Linked DNA regions of Arabidopsis thaliana. The protein of the gene in region 1 interacts with the protein of each later gene in a pairwise test. Each region holds a gene or a part of one and is shown on either strand. Other genes may lie near its edges.

Region 1 (8,868 bases):
TCGTAAGTCTCGCCTTTGGGTGGTTCCGAAGAGCTGATTCCAATGACTCTTCTCTTGCTGTCTCTCTGGTCGTGGTTGGTTTGAAGTTTGTTCCGGTTCTTCACTGAAGATCTATTCACATCTCTTCCGCCCCTATCCTCAAATATTTACCAGATCCTCCCGCCTTTTCTCTCTCCATCCTCGTTTCATCCGAATTTCCGATGTTTCAGAGTTTGCTGTTAGCGTTTTCGGACTCCTCTGCTCCTCTCTCCTCCGCCAGCCGCCGTGAAGTTGCTCGTGTGTATGAGCTAGGTCAAATTCTGGGTTACAGGATGCAAAGGTTGTTCTTGGTTTTGGCTTGGCCCAACAACAACCTTTTCTGTTGGGGCAGTTCTAGCCTAATTTTCTTTATGGGCTCAATTGACAATTAGGCCTCTGTGAGTTTTTATTTGGTTTGCCCTAATTTTTCTAATTTCTCTTTGTCGCTTCTTTCACCTCATCTCCTGCATCAAGACATCGTGCTTCCTCAGTCTCCTTTTCCATCCTACCAAGACAAGGAGATGTACATTCCTCCTACTCGAAGTGAGAGCCCTCCTTCATCGTTATCCCTTCCCAAGTTGTTGAGAAGATGTTCACCTTTATCCCTTCCCATTTTGTTGAGAGGATGTTCTTCGGAGAGATCTTTCTCTTGTGTCTTAGTTGGCTTAGCATTAGCCAAATCTTTGATTGGAATTGTTGTCCTAGTTGGAGCGTCAATCCCGTACAATAGATCACGCTTAGTGTTCTTTGTTTCCAATGACATCGTTTCACTCGATATCTTTTATGGTTTTGAGTGTTAGGATTGTTCTTTTATTCTCTTGTTCTTATGTTTATTGTTTGACCTTAAGAGCAACTTCATTGCACAATAGAAAGAGGATATCTTTAATAATATTAAAACATTAAATTTACAAAATATTAATATTCAAATATGAAGGATCTTTAAATTGGAGATATCATATCCTCTCAAAAATGTCTATTCTTAGACATTTAAGATATTGTGTCTTTATTTTAAAGACATCCAAAAATTAAAATAATATTTTTTGGAATATATTATATTTTAAGTGTAAGAAGACACTCTCCTTATTTGTTCAATGTAGATGCTCTAATGGCAGTAATTTCTGCAATTTCTTTCTTTTGGCTGATGTTTATTCCAGCTCTTGTAATCAAGTTATCTTTTGATGGATAGTTTTATAAAAGATTGGTCACAAAAAAAAAATAGTGTAAGTCTATAAATACATATTAGTGGAATATGTTTTTATTGATTAGAGATTTAGAGTATTAACATATACTTCTTGTTATGCCAAAGAATCCTAAAGTTATATTAGAATTAGATTCAACTACAACATGATTGCGTTTTCTGTTTTTTTTTTTTTTCGTCAACAACATTGCGTTAAACTTTAAAGAGAATTTATTTGAATATTTAGATACGTATATAGGTGACAGCACCCGCCGTTGGTTCTGACAAAACGGTAAATCAAATGCTCATAAGCTTGACATCTAAAGAAAAAAGGGAGCTAAAAAAATTGATCCAACTTGACGTATAAGTGGAATCGATTTTTTGAAAGCATACATGGGGTTGGGGTCCCTGTCCCTCTAAAGATAAGCATAATTCAACATTTTCGAATATTCCTTAGAATACGAATTGTGACTTATAATCTTTAAACGTCATTATACTAGTGCTAATTATCCTCTGCATGCATGACGTCCCCAAATCAGACAAACATTAATTCGAACCTTATTTTGATTGAATAACATTCAATTTCATTAGTATATTTTGGGAAACAATGCATGCACACCCACTTCCTTGACCGAGCTGATAAATTCAGAATTAGGTAAGCCAAACCCAAAATGGGCTGCCGAAACAAAGTGCATGAACATCAATTTAAACATGTTTTTCTTTGTTAAAGTTGAGTCAAAGGCTATTCTAAAAATATTACATTTTTTTTTTTGGAAGTTCCAAATAAAAAGGAAGCCGTCACTATACTATTCACGACAAGAAGATTTACATCATTCCTGAAATTATCAATCAAACGAATAGCTAAAAATGTAAAAATTGTATTGGGTTTTTGGAGTGGACTATTCAGGAATTTCATCTCATAATGGGTTTTTATATAAGATAAATAGTTACAACCCATTTTTAAGAGGCCCAAGGGACGTTTATTTTAAAAAGCTACTGATCCCTTTACAAATTTACGAACAAATAAAGCATATCTTCGAAATTACCAATCTGTATCACACAAAAAAACAACAACACTGAGATATGGAAATTTTCGAGATTAATCTAACGGTGAAGTCCTTATGTGAAATTACGAAACTGCCTTATTCATGTTCATCTTCATCTTTCTGAAGTACCCCTTTTGCTCCCAGAACAATGTCCGCCGTCGTGCTCCGACCAAAACATGTAGTCTAAGTCTAATACTAGTTTGTATCATTATCTGTTACAACAAACATATCTGTGTACGGTAAAGGGCTTATCTTTGTGAAATGGATCTTTATTTGGGCTTTACCTTGTGACACAATAATATGTAGCCTTGGTTTGTGATATAAATTATTTTTTAAAGTTGGGATGTCAGCTGGGTTTCTCCATCTTCTGTAATGAATGTAGTTGATTCAAGTTCCGAGAAATTTATGAAGAAGCAAAAAAAAGAAAGCAAAAAAAAAACATTTAAGTACGAGATAGATTGATATACACTCATTCAAAAGAGAAAAAGTTATTTATACAGCAAGATAGTAGTAGTAATACAATCTGCCTTTCTAGTTTGTTAACTAAAAAGAAGAACAATAGAAAACATATAATTTTACATATATAACTCACCAATATTAAAATCAATATATATGGTAATTTATTTTCTAAACAATTTTTGTTTTATTTCATAAGAGTCTGTTTTCGTTTAATTTAATAAGAGGCTTAGACTTTTGTATTTATATATTAATTATTACATGCATTGAAATTTTGCAGAATCTTACACTCTAAAAGTATGATATATATTTTTATTTTTCAATAAGTGTTAAAATGCTAAACAACACCACAGATGTTCGTGTTATCGATTTGTCTCCAAAACTTCCTGTTATCTATAAAGTTGGCTCACAAAATCATACACCTATGCATCAAGAACGTACCACAGGTACGAAATGCCATAAATTATAAACTTTTGACGCTTACATTGGAAACAAGACAGAAAACAATACTATTATTCAACTCACAAAACCTTAACTAGATGTCTGAAAGCTAAAACATGTTGCATTGATCAGTGACAAGAGACTATTTCATTTAGTAATGATAAATTGATAAACTATGCTTATTCTTTAGTCTTTACAACCAAGTTGTCTGACTTTTAAATTGTTAATTAACCATCCCAAACATTATCGAAACCCGGAAAGATAAAAACATTTAAAAAAAATGCTCTCATAGTTTCATGATACTAAATTCAACTCCCTCGATAATATTTTTTCCCGTCATATTAATAAACATATGATATATATTTAAAAATCAACATCATCATCATCTAAGAATCTGTGCATTTCCAAGCATCTGGTGATGATCAGACCGCATAATGCCACACCCTTTTCCTCCATATCCTCCACCAACAGTACCCGCAAGTGCTCCTCCGGCCACCGCCGTCATTCCTCCGCCGTTAACCACCGCATGTTCCTCCAGCGACTGCACTTGCTTCTTGAGAAACTTAACGTAATGGATAGCCTCATCGAGCATCGACGCCGTATCCATCTTAGTCCCACCGGGAACAAGCCGCTGAAGAATCCGAATCCGCTCGCTTATCCTCTCCCTTCGATGCCGAGCTGCCACGCTCTGTGGATCCTTAGAGATCCTCACGTTCTTTCTCTTTGGTGGCTTTACGGATTCCGGATCAATATGTATAGGCTGCATCACGGCTATTCGAAAGATCATCTCTCTCATCGCCGCCATGTTGGCGTTGTCGCTGCAGCCTCCTCTCTTCTCCGGGAGAGATGATGACGGGGAGGGGGCGTACCGGAAATTTAAACCGGGTTGGTGGTGAGGCATGGTTTGGTCAAATGGGAGATGAGAATGAGTGGGGTTGAAGAAGAACGGGTGGGTGTTGGATTCAGAAAGCATCATAATGTTATGGGGATTAGGGTTAGGGTTTGAGTTAGAGAAGTGTTCAGGAAGCTTCTCCATCTGCTGCATCATCATGTTCATTAGAATGTCGGAGTTATCCATCCTCCTTTTTTGTGGAATTTATAGGGTTTGTTTTTTCTTTGAGAGATATGGAGAAGCTGGTGAGATAAGGTATGGAGGAAGAAGAAGATGGACTGACAAAGCTTGAAATTTAGGGCTTTGTGTGTCTGAATCACAGAAGAGATGATGGTGGAAGACAGAGGGAGAGTTATGTGCGAAATGTAAACTGTTACTACCAATCAGAGATTCAGCAATATAAAAGGAAGTGATGGATTTATATAGCACTTTGTGACCCATTCTTATTATTTTACTCCTTTTTATTACATATATAATTTATAACAATTAGGATTGTTTTCCTTCTTCTATTTTTCACACTCCTAAAACTTTGTAACACACACGTATATGTATTTAGTAAATATATGTATGTATACATTAACGTACACTAGCTAGCAGTTGAAAATTTGTTCATTGCTTTGACATGGATGTTTCAACCTTCCATATGCATTGGACAGTTATATTTATGTTGCACGTATTTTTTTTAACTATAAATAAAATTATACTATTTATTTTATGACAAAAAATATAAATTTATTTACTTTAAACTTTCAATACCAGTTTTGCATAAATTAGTTGGTGTACTTATATATACTTTTGTCTGGAATCATTGCAACTCGCAAGAGATTGGAATCACTAGTCACTTGGTGTCACTAAAATTAGCTGATGAATGGAAAATTCGTTTTGAGTCATATTTCATGAAGGATATTATCCTTTGTCTGGATCAACCGTTCACGTGTCACAATCGGTGGGATTTTGGACCCACGAGTTGTGAACTAAGGCGCTTCTGGACAAATGAAGGTGCATGAACCGCTCTCACCATTTGAGGCAGCAACCATGAATTTTCCTATTTCTACAATTTTAATTTGTTTTCAAAATATAAAAATAAATCTTTTATATAAGTTCGAATGAGTGTAATGGGAAAGACTGAAAGAGAGAGTAGTTGTGTAGTTTTTTTTTTTTGGTATCTAAATTTTATACTACTGTTTTTTTTTGTTTATAATTGTTAATTACCCCACATCCACATGAAATATGTCAGAATCCAGGGAACCCATCTGTTTCGCCGGGATCTGTTCAGGCGACGGCGAAACAATATTACCTTGAATTCAAGTTTTCTTATTTTAACTTTTAACCTGGATGGATCCAATATGTTATGCATGAGAATATTAATGAGATGCACTGTCTTCGTTAGTAAGTAGTAAATAAGATTGATGTTATAACTTCTTTGAACATGCTTGAAGAAAACGTACTACGTTATTATTTTTTTGCATGATTTTTTTGTTTTTGTTTAAATGAGTAATATAGTGAATTTCTCGAGTTTCACAAATACAAACCATCATGTTAACGTATTTAGTTTATATGAATTTGTTTTGCAATGTATATACTAAGGGAGTGTATATTATGGAAGAATATTATCTTATATATAATGGACTCAATATAATCGAACCTCACTTGGCGTCGAGCGTTGGTATATGGCACGCTTATCAAAGCCGATCGGAAAGGACTTATTGCGATCTTCATTAAATTATTTTTCTCTTTATTTTAAGAACTTTACGTGAACATAGAGTAGTACTGTTTATTGACAAAAAACAAATAAAGAACAAAAGAAAGAAATTCTTATAACATTAGTTAACAAAGGAATTGCACTTCAACAACCAAATTAATAATAAATGACTCTTTCCTTAAAAATGCATACGTCAAACGTCAAAAACCTCACAATCTTCAATCAAGATCAATGCTTGGCTTCATTTGTGCAAAATCATCGGGTTTTTTCTTTTCATTCATAGAAATCATCTCTTTTGACGTCACAAAAGTAATTGCTTACTTGTTAATTAAAATTATTATGAGTTCGTCTTCTACCCTATAATTAGCCTAAAATAGACAGACACAGTAAGTTGCTTTGGACTTGGTTTTACCCTCTTATGTTGACACTGAAACATGTAAGAAAGCTAACGAAACGATGACGTTTCGCTGCTCTCTCTTTTTCAATCAGCTTCGTAAGTAACAAAAATAGATGCTATTTTCCCCTTTTCACCTTTTTACTTACACAAAGTCACTGTAAGAATTAAACACTCCTCCTTCCCACCGAATCTAAATTTCTTAACCAAGATTCCAAGTCTTGTTCGTACAATTTTTTTTTTTGTCTCTCGAGAACTTCCTTTTTCGATTTTTTTTCTTTAATTATTGAACTGTTTAATCAAAGTCGCCCATGTCATTCACTACGTTATTGATTGAACAAATGCCGTTAAAATCGACAGCAAATTTAAAAATGTACTAATAAAGAATAAGAACTCAGAATGGAAAACATTAGCTAAGATTGTTTACTGAAATTTGCGATGCAACTCTAAAACGCCAATGACGATTTGTTTAGTTGGAAGAATCTTTTTGTAAAAAAGTTTGAAAAATCTTTATGTATTTAACATATCTTGATCAGATAGTACTCTCATCAATTCACCGAATAAAAAATGCAAAGATCATATATGATGTAATTTTATATGAAACTCACCACAAACAAACTTATAAATTAAATAGACTTCCATAAAATCTAGAGTTTAGTAGTGATTGGACTACTGACTTTTTTCGTCGGATGTATTTATTAAAAAAAAAAAAGTTGTCATCGTAGTATTTGGTTGAGGATGGGCAGTGTATTAAAATAACAAACACTGGGATATTGGAAGCATATATCAAAAAATTCTAAAAGGAATTATATTTTAATAATTAAATAAACAAAAATTGGGGTAGGTTGCCTCCCAAGGCAAGGTAGTGATACAGCTGTGTTCATGTCCCAAGCATCATCTATGCCCTTTGCTCCATATTAACACCACAATTTCTATCCCCTAATGATTAATCACGTTTTCCGACAAATTTTTAAACTACTCCTTAATTAAAATATTCATAATTGAAAAAATGAAAAATATATATCGATTTATACTCGATTAATATCCTGTTTTTTACTCGATCATGAGTTGATGACAATATCCTTAATGTTAGGTTTATACTTTATAGATAACATTCTTATAATTTCTTGAACAAGTGCTCTGTATTCTTCTGACACATTTTTATCTTCTTTTTTCGTTTCTTTAGTTATTATATTGTTCATATCATATATGAAAAAAAAAAAAAAGATAAATCTGAATTCATTTGCTTTCTTTATTGCTCTTTTTTTTCAATTATGTATTTCCAATCTCTCTTTTTATTCGGATAAATTCTCATGTTCTCTGTGACAGGATAAAGTTCATGCACCCCTCTTTAATTATTGCTACTATCGTAGTATATTATATTTCACTTTCTGGAGCAATTTTCTTACAGAAATGGCACTTTCTTTAACTTTCTAGACAAACACTCACCAGATTTATCAATAGATTCAATACAGAAGTTCATACAAAACGAGTACCAAACTAAATTGTAATCAAGAACAAACTAAAAAAATTAAAATAAAAATAAGGAAAGCGTATATAATATGCATGGAGAGGCAAACAAAAGTCAAAACCTAGAAGATAGGAGCCTTTGGATTGGGAGAAAACCAATTATAACAATTTTAATGTATGGACGAATTAAGTAGAAAAAGAGGATTGTGATAAAGATTTGTTTCTAAATAAAGTATAAAAACATTTTTACCAAATAAGGAAGAAAAGAAAGAAAGAAAGCTCATGTAAAATGCATGGAGATTGGAGAGGCAAACAAAAGTCAAAAGTGAATCAAAACCTAGAATATAAAATGTAACATATGGAAGTGCTTCAATAAAAAAATAAAAAAAAAAAAGTGCCTCAATCGGGAGAAATTAAAATTTTAACATATGGAAGAATTAAGACAAACAAAATGGATAATTTTAAAAATAAAATTTCCTAATAAGGAAATGTTTTGGAATGAAGAAGATTAGATCTTAGATCCATTTAATTGGATCTCCTCTCTTTTCTTTGTTTGTTTCTTGTTTTTTAGTAGAATTTTGGTATTTGGTACATTCTTTGACTCTTGTTTTTAAACACCCATCCATGTCCCTTGTGCTATATTAAATGTACTCAATTTACATATTTTCCGGTGCACCTCACAAGACATATGTAAAATGTAAGATAATATATTTGTTTTCATTATTGAACGAAATCATGAAAACAAATATATAAAATGTACCGCACAAGTCACAAGACGAGACATATGTAAAAATGTACTCAGTTTATATAAATTATATCTATGAACCGACGTGCAACATCGTAACAAATCAGCTAAAGTGTTAATACACTAAATGGGCCTGAAAACTTATATGACCCATTCATAACACGGGCCTCTATACCTTTGAAGTTCATAAGCAAATGGTTCTTCGAGTCGAAATTGCATTCCTGTACATCGTTTTGCGTTCATCAAATAACTGAAAACCTCAGTATATAAATCCTTGAAAGGTGATGTCGAGGTGAGGAGTCTGACTAATACTCATCTTCATATTTCATTAAAATTAGTAACACAAAAATTTGTCAGTAATAAAAGGGTCTGAAATTTTTATTTATTTTTGGGGGGAAACAAAGAGATTCCAAGTTTTTTCATTTTACTACGTAAATTTTACGGCGTAGAAGTCAATGGTATATGTGTATAAGTATAACAATATAGAAAGTACTTGCACGACTTTTGGTTTTTGAATTCTTCATTAA
Region 2 (6,933 bases), on another chromosome or scaffold:
ATAACCATCGCAAGCAACATCCTTTGTAGCTCTGACTCCATTAGTAGGCTCCAAGATCCTCTCGTTCAACAAAGCTAGCGTTTTCTTAGCTTCTTCAACCTTCTTCAATTTCTTCTCCATTCACTCAAAGCTTCCTCTCAGACTTGCAATTCCCCTAAACCTCTTCTCAATATCACTTCTCACTTTCGTCAAACTCTCTACTTCCTTCTCATAACTCTCAAAGCTATCACCTTTCTCCATTAACCATTTCTTCAATTCAGCCACCTCTGTCACCGTCTCATCTCGCCGCTCAACGCAGTGATAAGATCATCCTGAATACTCACTCTCAAGCTCCACAGCTCCCGTCGATATAGATTCTAAAACCTTCTTCTCTTCTTCTATTTGCTTCATCTCAATCTCCATCTCTCCACACCTCTGCTTCATCTCCACTTCCAGACTTCTCATCTCCTCAATCTCTCTCAGTAATCTCACCCTCCTCCTTCAATTCCAGATTATCCCGTGTCAATTCTTGCTTCTTCTTCTCCAATTCCTTGAAATAGAATTCTATTTCAATTCACCAGAAAAAAATGATTTAGGGTTTTAAGTTTTAACTTTTAGTGAAGAAGTCGTTCCGAGGGTAGTTGACACTTGACAATATTGCCGCGAATCCTTTTTTGTACGGACCTCTTAGTGTTTAATGGGTTCAGGCCCAGTTATGTTAAGCCCAATTATAACATAACTAAGGCAATCAAAAAACATGTGGAATCGTAATCTTTTAGGCTTTTAGCCCATACAGGATGTGATTAGTTATAATCTATCAATGGTTTTTATTTTAAATTTTGGTTTGGTAAAGGATGTTGAAGTTAACATTATTGATTACAACTTCGTACTATACGATGTTCAACCTTAAATTCATCTTTGTAATGTAATTTGGATAGAGAGTAGATAGGGTTGGTAAGAAAATTATATCTTCCCCGACTTTCCGCTATGTGTGGAGTAAATAGTTCCATAGAGTTCGATATAGCTGCATTGTTGTGGGTCAGAAATTACGTTATAATGAATACTAAAACTGATATTGTTTTTTTTCTAGCGGCAAATGTGTTTAAATTTCTGTGTAGATGCTAGCTCTAGTACTTACACGACTAAAAAGATTTGTCTTGTATATGTATGTACAAGGAATATACATGAACTCTATTGTTGGACCACGGGAACTCAAATCTAGTAAGTTCATCATAAGCTTAAATAAATATCGACCGACTTTGGAAATCTTTGTTATAATAAAGCATGTGAAATGAGCTCATCCAGATTTAAAAATGGGCCACGTAACATTAACTTTCTCAATATCATTAATGTCAAATCTCATATGCAAGTGAAACCTCGTGATCCAATTTAATATCTATACTATATGGCGTCCTACTAAAATAAGTTATATAACTACATTAATTAATGCTAATTTTCGTTAATGAACACTTCTCATAACCGTGAAACGGCTTAATAAATAAATCAGAACATTAAAATTAAAGATTATACTCCTACTAAAGAAAAAAAAAATTCGAAGAAAAAAATGTTGAGTCTCTTTCCTCATATATCAAAGCTAAAATCCCATGTTATAAAAAAGGAAATAAAAGATTTGAAAAAAAAAAACGTTTTTTTTTGTTTTTAGGAATCGAAGAAAGAAGAGCAGTCTTGGTGTGATAATCTTCAACCTCCGAACTTCATGTCTTCTTGATCTATGCGTTGAAGAAACGAAGTAAGGACTTTAATGGTTTTGATCTGACATTGTAGAGACAGAATGTAACCAGCTGTCTCTTCGAAGAGCGCGTCCACACCAAGCGCCGCTCCTCCGGGGATAATCCTCTGCAACGCCTCAATCTTTTCCTTGACCTCATCTTCTTCTTCTTCTGCTTCTTCTCGGTCTTCACGTACGCTTGCGTTAGTCTCTGACAATCTCCGTTTGGTTCTGCGCTCGAAACCAGCGGCGCGTGATTTCACGGTGGCTGAGCATGACGGTGACAGAGAGCGTCTCGTGGCGTCGGGAGTGGCTAGAGTTTCTTCCATTGAAAGAAAGAGAGAGATGAATGATGAGTCTGAGAGAATAATGAACAAGTAAGGAATGTGGATATGTGTAACTGTGTGTGTTATATATATATATATGAGTGATGATGGATTTAGTAGACAAAAATGTTGAAATGTGGTCGGTTCAACCTGATTTTATTTTGGTTTGTTGCGAGTTTAGAGACAATACTCTATCGGTTTGATTTGGTTTGCTATGCTTTATGTTACATTGTTTGCTTACATTAGTGAAAGGTTCGGTTATGAACGAATTTTGGTTTGGTTTGTCTATAAAAAACGATGTAAAAATTGAAACGATATAAAATAAATTCTACATTTAGAAATTGGGAAATGGTTAAATGAGCGGTATTGCCATCAAAGCTGGGTCCAGTTGTGCGTTATTTTTAATTTTATTATCCTCGTGTTTCGGATTGTGGAGATTTATTTAATTATCTCTTACTTTGGTTGCTTCCACAGATTTGGATCTTTAGAAGAAGAGCTTTCACGCGCCATGTCGACTGGTTTAGACTTTAGTGGACTCATCACTCACTTAAGTGGATCAACCTCGCATCTAGATTGGATTTTTTTGTTTGTTTGATAAATGAGATTTGGCACGTTAAATTTGTTTGTTTAAGAGCTAGACGTTTGACATAGTAATTAACTAATTATACAACAATGCTTTATTATTGTATTAGGATATGCGTTGTTAATACAAGCCGGATTACTTTTAGCAAGTGTCTCATTTATTTATCAAGCCGGATTACTTGCTAAAATATTATTCGAACTTTAATTTAAACTCTAAATGGTTTGTGATCTGGTTTAGCCATAAATGTAATAGCTGCTATACGTTGTTTTGCATAGTTACCAGTCTTATTTTCTACAACAAGAATAAAGAGTATAAACTATTTTATGTGAGCTTAAATTTCCAAAAGAAAAATTCAAGTAGACGACGACAAACCCTATAGTTATGCACTTATGCTTATAGGCCATTCGGGTGGTGCCTGGTAATGGACTAATGCCTGATGGTATAAGAGTAAGTTTTGTCGTAATTACGTAGTACGGACGAAATGAAAACGACCACGCGCGTGGAGATAAGGAAGGAAAAGAAGAAGGATACAGTGAGACACTACTTGCATGGGAACAAGGAAGAGAGAGGAGAGGACATGTGCGGGTCACATGAATATCTCCATCTTCAAAGCCCCATTCCCATGTGCTTCCTCCTCTCTATACATTATGTACAGACTGTAATATAGTATTATTATTAGATGGATGAGATCAAATAGATCCTCTAAGAGATAGTGAACTTGTTCGTACAATTGAGGACCTAATCCTACTAAGATCCACATGATATCTATCGGGCATGGTGGCCACGTGTCAACCCTTTTTTGGGTCCCCCCCACCTCAGTGACCTCCTAAATCTGTCCTTCATTTTTTTTTTGTCAACTCCTTTTTCTTATTAAAAGAAACTCCAATTAACATCCCATATTTCTTACCACGTAAAAACAACAATCTCAATATATCTATAATGTTAGAGAAATGGCCACTATATAACAAGAAGAAAGCCAAGGAAGTTTAGTGTTATTGGATTCGAATATAGTGTTACATGTTTCTAGCTAGAGATCTTTATAATATACATCTTTTATACATAAAACCGTTATAGTAAATCTTACTTAATGTTGGTTCCATAAATGAGCCCTCCGGTGCATTTCTTTTGTCAACTATATGATATAAAAACTAGATAAAGACTTAATAAAAAATAATTGCATTAAAAAAAAACAATTGCATTTTTGTAGGTCTTTAATCCAAGATTGCAAATTAACCTAAATCTACTCAAGAAAAAAAATTTAGTAAAGAATAATGATTGACATCTAATTAAAAGAAATAATGTATGGTCTTAATTAAGACAAAGATCAGGAACAGAATAACACATTTCTTTTACGTCTAGGGTTTTTAGTAATACTAAAAATTGTTAAGATGTTGTTTTAGAAGAAGAAGAAGATGGAAGAGAGAAATAAAGAAAGAGATGATGTTTCCAAAGAGGGGACGAAGGAGGGTTTGGTTTCTCGGGATTGAGATTTACAAAAATCGGGTGCCTTTCGCATTTCACCATCTACCAAACTGACACTCTCCCCAATTCTAGTATCTATTTATTTATGTATTTGCACTTACATTAAATATGTTACAAAAATAACACACTCGAAATTTAATTTTAGCTTTTAGCCAGCTTTCACATTCGTCGTCTTGGAATAATCAATTCTATGTCCTTTTGTATCTTGTTCGTTGTTTCTATTTTTTCCAAAATAACTTTTATTTAATGACGAAAACCTAAATATTTATATCTAGGAGGAGTTTGAGATGATTCCCTTTCACTATTTATTTTTGTTGCCACAAAAATAAAAGAGAAGAGTTTGGTTAAAGACAAGACAGTATATGTTTTTTTAAGAATTAAGAAAGGGGAAGATTAAGAAAGAAAATATGTAATGTTTAGCTAAAAAACTCCAAATCAAGGGAAGTTAATTAGTTATCTTCTCTTTTTTTCTATAAAGGCTGGAGATATGGGCCACACAGGTGGACCTACCATGATGGGTGATCTCTGGGACAATGCATACAGTGGTTTTTGGGTCCACCTCTAACCTTATTTGTCTCCTCTCTTGGCCTCATTTAGTTGCATTTTTTTCAATTGTACATGCATTTTCACTTGCTATATCTCTCTTTTGCTTTAAAACTTATTTTATTAAAAACTTTATAATCAGAAAGAAGAAGAAAGATCCCAAATTTTTTTATTTTTATTTTAATTAAAATAGAAGTGAATAAATAATCTTTAAATGATTTTTTCTAATTTTATTTTGATATTTCTATTTTGAGATACTATTTATTGAACAGCAATCTCTCATTGTGCTCATTTATTAATTTGTAGAAGAAATAACTTGTTTAGGAAGAAAGTAAGCGAACTCAACTGTTTACACAAAAATATATACACAAATTGGTTGGTTTAAAGATATGATCAAGTGACAATGCACCTTTCTGTTTCTACTGACATTTGGAAGAACAAAGTGGTGCCTGTGATATGGGTTCCCACCACCACATGCGTTTGGATGTGCCATGAAACCATCATCATCATCACCATGCGCATCCACACTGATCCATCTTCTGTAGCCAGCGGTTCTTTTAAACGTGAAAAACTCTCAACCTTTCTTGTTATATATACCAGAATCTAACATCCATTTATTTATTTGTCGGAATAGAAAAAACAAACAAATGATGGATCACAATTAATAAAAAAAATATTTTTTGCTCATATGGTTTTGTGTCATAGACAATTTTCTTTTATGACATGAAGATGGAAACATACAATGTTCTGTGTGATGAAAGCCCAGCTTAGGTGGAGAACTAGTACATCTTTGACATACCGTACCGAACAGCTCCAACTTTCCGGTGAGCAGAACCACCAGGAGCAGCTGCTGCAGCTGCCGCTGCGACTCCTATTCCGGCAGTTGCCTGTAACAGATTTGTGTCGATTATGATCCGGTCACTGATGTTTTCGGCTTTGTTCATTCCCGTTCTAGCCATGATAAACGGGTTGTTGTCTATGTTGATGGCTACATCTGGTGCATATCTATTATACTGAGATATTTGTCTTGCCTGCTTCTCAGGCTCCATAGTTGTTCTTCTCTCTTGCTGCTTTCCCATGGCGACTGTTGCAGCAGATTGTTGTGAAAAGGGGAGATTAGTGCTCCGGATGAATGATCTCGGGTCATATGCATCTCTGCTGATTCTGCCATTGTCGAAAGGTGCAACCGGGCCCATGAATGTGCTTGGTTTGGCTGCTGCGTGTAGATAGATGTTTTACAGTTTATAGAGGTCAGTTTGGACACATTGCTGTTGGATTCAGGATGAGTGATTAAAAGTACCTGAGAGGTTTCTTTGTTGTGCTTGTATTGTTGCATGATTAAAAGGAATGTTTTGAGTAGTTTCAGGGTTCAATGTGTTTGTGTTATTCATAAGTTTTGGTTGTCCTCCTCGTGCTACTGCGGTTGAGTGTATGACCGTTGATCTGAAAGCATGCAAACACAGAGTCAGAAGGACATATTTTTATAGAAATTAGTGTTCAACACAAGAAACAGATAGTCACGGTCTTATGATTCCATCTTTTTTATCCTTGCCATGTCAATGTATATTAATATACAACTAGTATAGCAGTTGCATAACGGGGGTCAAAAACAGAGGAGATCACCGAAACCAGATCAAGTGACAACAGACTTTACAGAAAAAATGAGGATATACCTGGGAAGAGAGGCATGTTTCCTTTCTAGAGGTGCCACAGGGCCGGTTTTACCACTGTTTTCTTCAAGATGCGCAAATTGTCTTCTAAATTGATCAACAGCACTGCACAGTATACATCAATGTCAGGGACTGGGTGTGATATGCAATGCTAGCTCAAGAATGTAATCAACAAAAATTACGACCTTGGGTAGAGAAAACTGGCTTTATCAGCCCCGTTCATATGATCTTTAAGCAGCTGAGGGTGGTACTCAAGTATCTCCCTAGAAATTAGCTCTCTTATATCCTCTTTAGTGACCTTTCTTCTCTCGAACTCAAATTCCATCTTCGTGATGGGTTGACATGAAGGCTCCCTTTCCACTTTTGCCAATCCCTTAAAATATGGATCAGCAAGTGCCTGATTCAAGTATACAAGAGTAGTTTAGTGATTCACTCCAATAGAAACCCCAAATGCATGATACTCTATTATTAGAGAGAGAAAACAATCAGGAAGCCGAGAATTCAAGATTTGAGATAGTTAGTCAATATGGAAGTTGAAAAGCACCTCTTCAGCAGTTGGCCGGTCTTTTGGATCAAAAGCAAGAAGCCTCTCCAACAACTTCAGAGACAAAGGATCTGCAT

The links. The genes of interacting proteins can lie anywhere in the genome.
Region 2: the proteins of HEC2 (region 1) and PAR1 interact in a two-hybrid assay, tested with the Arabidopsis thaliana proteins (one large-scale study listed by BioGRID).

Annotation. Positions count from the first base shown.
Region 1 is NC_003074.8:18,653,903-18,662,770, forward strand, and holds HEC2 (basic helix-loop-helix (bHLH) DNA-binding superfamily protein), read right to left. Parts: upstream 4,476-8,868; 5' UTR 4,217-4,475; coding exon 3,521-4,216; 3' UTR 3,053-3,520; downstream 1-3,052. Other genes in the region: AT3G50320 (uncharacterized protein), read right to left, coding at 1-132, 234-287, 475-523, 616-781.
Region 2 is NC_003071.7:17,835,151-17,842,083, forward strand, and holds PAR1 (phy rapidly regulated 1), read right to left. Parts: upstream 2,469-6,933; 5' UTR 2,038-2,468; coding exon 1,681-2,037; 3' UTR 1,266-1,680; downstream 1-1,265. Other genes in the region: AT2G42865 (uncharacterized protein), read right to left, coding at 121-288, 364-444; MPK20 (MAP kinase 20), read right to left, coding at 5,422-5,858, 5,943-6,085, 6,316-6,417, 6,498-6,709, 6,857-6,933. UniProt on the Arabidopsis thaliana protein: Atypical bHLH transcription factor that acts as a negative regulator of a variety of shade avoidance syndrome (SAS) responses, including seedling elongation and photosynthetic pigment accumulation.